Linked DNA regions of Xenopus tropicalis. The protein of the gene in region 1 binds, or shares a complex with, the protein of each later gene. Links are inferred from orthologs where the notes say so. Each region holds a gene or a part of one and is shown on either strand. Other genes may lie near its edges. The genes, in order: tjp1 and gjc1.

Region 1 (3,822 bases):
AGTACATCCGGAAGCATCTCTCATTACTATTTGCAATTAAAGTAGGGTGCTCGATGATGTACCAGTTTATCTGTAGTTTAACCATGGGTGCCAAATTCTTGAAAATTTTGCATGGGTGTCCTTTAACAGACTAGGTAACTTTTCACTTACAATAATTCAATCTATCTTTTACTTTTCTATTTAGAGCACCATATCTTACATCTACTAAAAAACATTTACATTTTTAAAAAAAGCATTGAAAAGGATTGTTTTGCTATCCGTATGGATTTATGCAGTTAGCTACCTTCAAGTAGAAGGCACTGTTTTATAACTACAGGAAACTGTTAAAAAATAAAATAAATGTAAAAATAAACGGGAAACGTCATTCCAAGCTTTCTGGATAATAGAGCTATCCTACGACTGTATATCCATATAATACACTAAAGCCCTGAATAATCTGTAAAATGAATACAGTACTAAGTCAGAGCCACTCTGCCAACTTAGTACACCATGTGTGAAGTAGTGAGCTTGAATCAGGCAAATAGGCTTTGGTGTGTGGTATAAAGGAGTTTTTATCCAATGTGCTGATTTGTTTTAGAGAAGCTCTTAGATGCCTCCACACATAATAGGTCTGGGTCCTGCTAGTGGTCCCTTTGGAGGATCTGGTGAGTTCCATAATGGTGGGATTGGGGGGTTAATTATTATAAAATGTTTGCAATGCAAGCCTATTTTTTTTTATATTTTAATTTCTTTAACAGAGCCAAAACCTGTATATGCCCAGCCAGGACAACCAGATGTGGATTTGCCAGTCAGCCCATCTGATGGACCTTTCCCTAATTCTACACATGAAGATGGCATGCTTCGGTAATGCACACTTTCTGTTAACAACATTTAAAAATGCTTAAAATTGTTATTAAAACTGTTTTAAGGAATCCTTCCTTTCTTCTAAGAATAGGTGCTTTGTAGCCACCTTCTTTCTTTAGGGTGAAGACACACAGAGCTACTAGTAGCAACTGCTTGTCATGGCTACTAAAATAGACAATGCTGATTGTTTATTTATAACAATAGGAGAGGCAATTCTCAGTATTGTCTTTGGCAGAGCATTTTCTGGTGTTAAGTAACCTTAGCAAGAAGATGCTACTAAGTAGCTCTGTGTGTCCTCACCCTGACTGACCAAGGAGAATTGCCACTGTATAAGCTAGTGGCCTCTTTCATCGAAATACTCAACATACTCCCTTGCATTTCAATCAGCACTAATTTATCAACAGTAAGAGGGCCAAGAGGTGCCCTTCCAAGTTAAATGAACTGTAGTGCTACCCCAAATGTAAACCTTAAAAAAAATTTTTTTCAAAGAAGAATTCTATAATCCACAGGGACATTTGAGAGAAAATAAATTTGTTTTATAGATTGTTTAATTATTGTTTAGTGTTATTTACACAGTGTGTATTGAATATATGCTGTAGCATGTATGAATTTTTTTAGTACGTCTTTTCTAAAAATTATACAGATAGTTCAGATATTATAAACTTTGCTTAGATTTATTTGTTCCATGCTAAATTTACTTCTGTTTTTTGGAGGCCAAGCATGAAACTGGTGAAGTTCAGGAAAGGAGACAGTGTAGGCCTTCGTTTGGCTGGTGGTAATGATGTGGGAATTTTTGTTGCTGGTGTATTAGACGACAGTCCTGCCGCAAAAGAAGGTTTGGAGGAAGGGGACCAGATACTCAGAGTAAGTAGCAGTAAAATTTTATAATGCAAGATTTTTTCAGCTCTACTGTTATGCTATGAGCATTAATAAAAGTACATAATAGAAATACAGGTGGAAAAAGTAGAAATGTTGCTTATGGATATCACACTATTTCCTGAAGTTTACACTCACAAGGTTAACTTACCCTCAATGGAACATGAAAATCCCAACTACTACATTTACATTTTCATGTTGTCATAAACTTTGAAATAGATTAGTATAAATGATTGTTTTAAACAAAGAATGCTGTCATGGGAAAACATGTTTTTTTTCCCCAAAACACATCAGTTAATAGATCTTCTCCAGCAGAATCCTGCGTTGAAATCTGTTTTTCAAAAACACTGATTTTTTTTATATTTAATTTTGAAATTTCACATGGGGCTAGCCATATTCTTCATTTCTTAGAGTGCCTCAACCATGTGACCGTGCTCTAAAAAACTTCAGTCACACTTTACTGCTGAGCTGCAAGTTGAAGTGATATCACCCCCCTCCCAGCAGCTGATCAGCAGAACAATGGAAAGCTAGCAAGATAGCAGCTCCCAGTAGATATCAGAATAGCGCTCCATGGTAGAAAATACAAGTCCAGCTTGTGACTTCTCCAGTTACATGAGAGTAGGAGAAACAATAGGTTAGCTGAAAGCAGTTCTAATGTGTAGCACTGGCTCTTTCTGAAAGCTCAGACTCAGGCACAATGCACTGCCTACACACCAATATCACAACTAAAAAAATACATTAGTTGGTTCAAGAATAACATTTTCAATGGTAGAGTGAATTATTTGCTATGTAAACAGTGTAATTTAGAAATAAAAATTATACCATAAAAAACATTACCGTATCCCTTTAAGTGTGTCATTCCACCTACTATTATTTAGCAGGGATTTTAGTTATTCAATGTTAAATAGACAAAGAACAAGGAAGTGCTTAATTTCACTTTTTTAATCTGTAATATTCCCCTCAGGAAGCTTTATTAAAAAACAAATGTGTTTGTATTCATGTGTTTGCGAGCTGCAATACTCCTTGATATAAAATCTCACACTATGCTTTTTTTCTGCTAGACGGAAAAACATGGCACCCATTTGCCACTGAATAACAGGCACATTTTGGCCCAAATACAGCTGTGCATAAATGGCCGAAATCCTCCTTGTGTTCACAGTGACGCATGGATGCCATTAATAGCATGGGGCAGAATTGGCTGGCATTAATTTTGTTTCCACTTCCAGAGAAATGCCTAATGTGACAATTAGCTACAGGGTGTATAGTGTTCTTATAGCTTGAATTAAGCCAAGTGAACTATGTTTTGCTTTATTATCCCATAATTTCTGATGACCCTTGTAAATAAAAGTGCTAAGTGGGATTGGTTGTTTTTGTGCAACCTTCAGTTCTAAATAATCCAAACTAAATGCAAATATTAAATTTAATTTTAGGTTAACAATGTGGATTTCACCAATATAATAAGGGAAGAAGCGGTACTGTTCCTTCTTGATCTGCCCAAAGGAGAAGAGGTTACCATTCTTGCTCAGAAAAAGAAAGATGGTAAGTTTTCTTGCCATAAGTTGGCCATGAATATGAAAATATTTGTGTTTATCATTAATTAAACAATTGTATATTTTGCAAGCATTACCTCTTCATGCTGAAATTTAGAATGTACCATATTTGTGTTTCCAGTGTATCGCCGCATTGTTGAGTCAGATGTTGGGGATTCATTTTATATAAGAACTCACTTTGAATATGAGAAAGAGTCACCATACGGGCTAAGTTTCAACAAAGGAGAGGTCTTTCGAGTTGTGGATACTCTTTACAATGGCAAACTAGGGTCATGGTTGGCCATTAGAATTGGTAGAAATCACAAGGAGGTGGAAAGAGGGATAATCCCCAACAAGAATAGGTAAGTGGTTACCAGTTTTACAGGTTTCTTTTGTATTTTTGTGTACTTTAACTGTATGGATAGTAGAGCTGTTTGGTTATGCTTGTGTGTTGGGTCAAAGTGGATTCTTTAAAGGGGACATACAGCATACATTTTCACAATGCAGTGAAACCATGTAAAATAGAAGAAGGAAGCGTGTTTGTTTTAATATTATGGGTCAAATACATCTGAAT
Region 2 (4,440 bases), on another chromosome or scaffold:
GCATCCAACTTGCATGGCTGAATTCTGCACTGTCTGGGGCTATTCCTTTTTCCTAATAACCTGACACATATGGCTGGCTACTTGCTAAATGCTGGAAGTGTGACAAGGGGAATATTTGAAGAGAGTGTAAGACCAGTGTGCCCTGAGCAGCAGAAGAAGCACCCAAGGTGCAAGACAAAGACTAAGGGGGGATCCAAAAATGATGGGAAGTAACAGACTGGAGGGAAGGAATTGGTTTGGGAATGACAGGAAGCAGTGAGAAAGTCCAATAGTGTATAGTAGGGGTGGGGAGAACGATGAGTGACTTCAGAGGGGAGAGGCACATATGAATTTGTCAAACTAGAATCTATTTAGGTGATTTAAACTGGAATAGAAAGGAGATACTGGGACCCATCACTCAACCCCAGAACTGCCCCAGACTGGGACTGCCCCCTTACACTGGGACTGAGACACCCATCTACCACTGGACAAATGCGCCAGTTAGGGCTTTTCACTGTACCAGAATAAAGTAACTCCACCATGCTCCACAGATATATATTTACCTGTAACTGTGGAATAATGTGAATAGTAAGGCATAATGGTGTCAGAGGAAAAAGTTGTAAACTTGGGATTCGGTTATAGTAAGGAACCACAGAGTCACGTGAAAGGGATGTAACAGGGGTAGTGTGTATAGTAAGGAAGTGCCCTGCAATATGTGTAGCTAAAGTTAAAAAGCAAAAAGTCGCCTCTGGTAACTAAGAGCTGAATTTACTTTTTAAAGGGAACTAGCAATGCAGTCCCCTCTGGACCTGTTCCGACACTAAAATTATAGGTGCGGAGTGGGAAAGATGGGCGGCAGCAGCTCCAGGAACGGCCTCTGTGGCCCTAAAATATCAGAGCCTATTATGAATCCCAGTCTCGGCCTGCTACATGGCTACCTACAGCTGGCCATACACGCACCGATAATATCGTACGCCCGATCAAAAGATTTTGATCGGGCGCCATAGAAGGCGCCTGACCAAATCTGCCTTCAGCGCTGAATCGGCACAAGGAGGTAGAATTCCTATTGTTTCTACCTCCTTATCTGCCATTTCAGCCCAGAACGGTTTGTGGCCGATTGTACAATCTTTCATGTGACCGATGGTCGCACGAAAGATCGCAAATCGCCACGTGTGTGGCCACCTTAAGTGTATGTATATGTGTGAAATGCCCATGAGCATTTTTTGACACCACGGCCATCTTTAGACACGCAGCATGCCCCCTTTTTGCCCCACACAGTTCTGGGGCACAGGGGCTGCCTCATGGAATTTAGTGCTCACTAAGTAAGAACACGAGCTGGTGGAACATAAGAAGTGAATTTATTGTTTTAATTAAAAAAAAAAAAAGTTTAAATCTCCTCCTCTTCCCTCAGCTCCGAAGCACTATAGTAGTCTGTGCGGCTGCTGCTGAGCTGCCATTGGATAGTAGTGAGGGGCCGGAGTTCCAAGTTGAACCGGCCAGTCACTTGCCTGTCATCACACTGCTTGTCTGTTCACTGGGGAAGGAGACTTAGGCTGGGGTCCTGCACAAACTGGAACCCTATGGGGTCTCTGTGGGCACTGAGGCGGAACAGCAGGAGCAGCTGTCCTTTTAGCCGCCTTTGTTACTGAGAGAAGGGGGGAAATGGTCACATGATTGTCCCTGTCCCGAAAAGAGAAAGGGAAGGACTCAAGCGGGAAGGAGCTTTGAGATACTGCATGGTGAGTGCCTATGTCTCTCTCTGCTTGTGTGTCACTACTAGTGGGACTGTGTGTGTGTATGTGTATGTGTGTGTGTGTATGTGTGGGTGCCACTAACTAATTGTGGGCAGGGGAGGAGGGAATCTCCCAAATTAAACAGTAAAATGATTGATCAGTTATTGTCTGGTTTGTACTGGACCAAGTGATTAATACTTAATGCCCATTTATTTAATGAGTAAGTAATTTTAATATTTTCCCCTAAATATAGGGTGATTAAAAGTCAGTGCCTTTTGTGAGGATATTTAGAGTTTATTCCTGCTCCCATCCCCCTGGCACACAGGGCTGACCCCCCCCCCCCCCACACGCAACTGCTGCTGGGGCTGCCATAGATTTATGGCACGCACCACTGTCTCTGGTGGGGTTCCTTTTGGAGACAAGTTAGGGTTTCCACTGGCCAAAGTCTGTTGGGCGCCTGTACCCAGCTTAAAAGTGAAATTCATTGTAGCCCCCTCAGTTCCCAGTGTATCTAAGGGGATCAGCACTGCCTGGGGTGTGTGTGACGGAGGACACTAGTTATGTGTATTACTGCCATTCATACTCATTTAGTCGGTACAAGTGCCATTTCTGAGTCCAAAGGAATTTCCTCCTGCAAGGCAAACTGGAGGCAGCGCTAGGAATTCTTTCTGCCTTTCTCTGGAAAATCCAGGAGAAGGGGAAAGGCACCTTTCTGTCAGAAATAAAGGTTTAAGGTTCTGTATCCTAGCAGTGGATAGAAGTGTGAATTCAACACGTGGGATAAAATTTCAGTACATCTAATACCACATTATTGCATTTTTTAGGCACTTAGTTTAAATATCAATGTCATTGTGTTATGTTGGGTTGCTTTCCTGTGCCACAGGTCTAATGGGAACCTAGCAACATCCCTGCAGGTCAGCGTGTGCCATTATATTCATCGGTATTTAGAGTATGGCTGTATCCAGGATTTATTAGAATTCCACCACTGCTTGCAAAATTCATATACCTCAAAGTTGAGCCTAATCTGCTCTCATAAAAGTTATGTGACTTAATGTATGTATTGGGCTTCCATCCTATGGGGGTCCTTCGTAAATTTACTGCAAACGGCAATAACTGTCCTTGCTTTGAAAAATGTACTACTATAGCAATTGGCTGTTTCTAACATTAAATAATACTGTAATAAAATATATATAATTGGCTTTGAGCTGTATGTATTATGATGAGCCTGGAAAGCCTTAACGTGCAAGATTGCGTGAATTATTTGTTGCAGCAAAATGTGTATTTGCTGTGCTGTGAAGCGTCCCAGGGTAAAAATACTAAGTGTGCCCTAGCACTTATAACGCCATGCACAGGTATCTAACTACTGTGAGCCCATTTCTCCAAGTAAGTAGTTCAAAACTCGAACAGAACTTCATCAGCAACCCTATCTTCATGATGCAGTGTGGCTCATTCATTTACCCGTTATCAAGAACATGTTTAATTTAAGCACCCCCTGTGTAAGATGTACATTATGCTTGAGAGATCCGATTAGATCTGTAAGCCAGGGTTCCAAGTGCAGGACACAGATACAGAAACCCATTGCCTCAATACATTATATTTTAACCCTGATATCGTGAGGTTACACATGGAGGTAAACTGTGTCTTTCTATGTGTATATGATTCAGTGTGCATAGGTATCTATATCCATACAGCTGGGGGACCTATTTTGCTCCAGAATCCAAAATAGGAGCAACAAAGGGCGTTTGACTCATTTATTGTGATCAGCAGCGCACCATCAATATTTAGATTTTTTAAAAATATTTTTTATCTTTAGTATGTGTATGCTTTGATTTTTTTTTTTTTTTGTGCGTTTGATGCCATATGAACCATGCTCTGAAAATATCAGGGTTTATGGGACCTAATAAATACCAGACATTCGAGTTTTTGAACCATTATTTGAATTCAAATTTAGTGCAAAAAGAATCGTGAAAAAAAATCAAACTCAAACATTGATAATACTCCCCCTTTCAAGTTTACTAAAAAATCATTTAAACATTATATACACCCAATAGGATTCTTTTGCCTCCAATAAGGATTAATTATATCTTAGTTGGGATCAAGTACAGGGTACTGTTTTATTATTACAGAGAAAAAGTAAATCATTTTTTTAAACATTTAATTATTTGATTAAAATGACGTCTGTGGGAGATAGCCTTTGTGTAATTCGGAGCATTCTGGATAACAGGTTTCCAGATAACAGATCCTATACCTGTATAGGTAAAAAAGGTTTTTTATTATAGAGCCTGCTCTTCTATTCCTTTGTAAGTTAGGTCTTCACACTGTTGTGATAGTATACAACATTGGACAGGGTTATAAAATATTTAAATTTAAATAAACAAATGATTTAGGAACCCCCATATGTTCATACTGGTCATTTTTACACATTTAAAGTTTCATCAAACAAGAAGCACTTGGCATCGGGTTCCTTTACTTTACTTGCACAAATACCAGATAGAAATTCATTAAATATCAACATTTTGTGCAAATTCATATATTACCCTAGGACCAAGAATAATGTTCAGTTCATTATAGTGTAAAAAAGTTCTTGCTACTATAATGCTGTAATGATAACGTTAAAAGGCAGTTATTTGAAAAGTCAAAGTCTGATATAGGGAGGCAAAAATTGCAGACTATCCATATAAGGGTTATCTTTTATATTAGTTCCATGAGGAGCAAGTTTTTTTATATA

The links.
Region 2: the proteins of tjp1 (region 1) and gjc1 are in contact, whole or in part, in a crystal structure (PDB 3SHW), measured with the Homo sapiens proteins. The link is inferred for Xenopus tropicalis from reciprocal best matches to the Homo sapiens genes TJP1 and GJC1. Residues at the interface, in NP_003248.3 of Homo sapiens: Lys429, Ser432, Val433, Gly434, Leu435, Arg436, Leu437, Gly449, Val450, Leu451, Val484, Leu487, Leu488, Leu549, Asn551, Gly552, Lys553; in NP_001073852.1 of Homo sapiens: Lys391, Thr392, Ser393, Val394, Trp395, Ile396.

Annotation. Positions count from the first base shown.
Region 1 is NC_030679.2:97,716,124-97,719,945, reverse strand, and holds part of tjp1 (tight junction protein ZO-1), read left to right. Parts: intron 1-737; coding exon 738-843; intron 844-1,556; coding exon 1,557-1,707; intron 1,708-3,149; coding exon 3,150-3,258; intron 3,259-3,390; coding exon 3,391-3,610; intron 3,611-3,822. UniProt on the Homo sapiens protein: TJP1, TJP2, and TJP3 are closely related scaffolding proteins that link tight junction (TJ) transmembrane proteins such as claudins, junctional adhesion molecules, and occludin to the actin cytoskeleton.
Region 2 is NC_030686.2:17,914,279-17,918,718, forward strand, and holds the start of gjc1 (gap junction gamma-1 protein), read left to right. Parts: upstream 1-1,449; 5' UTR 1,450-1,718; intron 1,719-4,440. UniProt on the Homo sapiens protein: One gap junction consists of a cluster of closely packed pairs of transmembrane channels, the connexons, through which materials of low MW diffuse from one cell to a neighboring cell.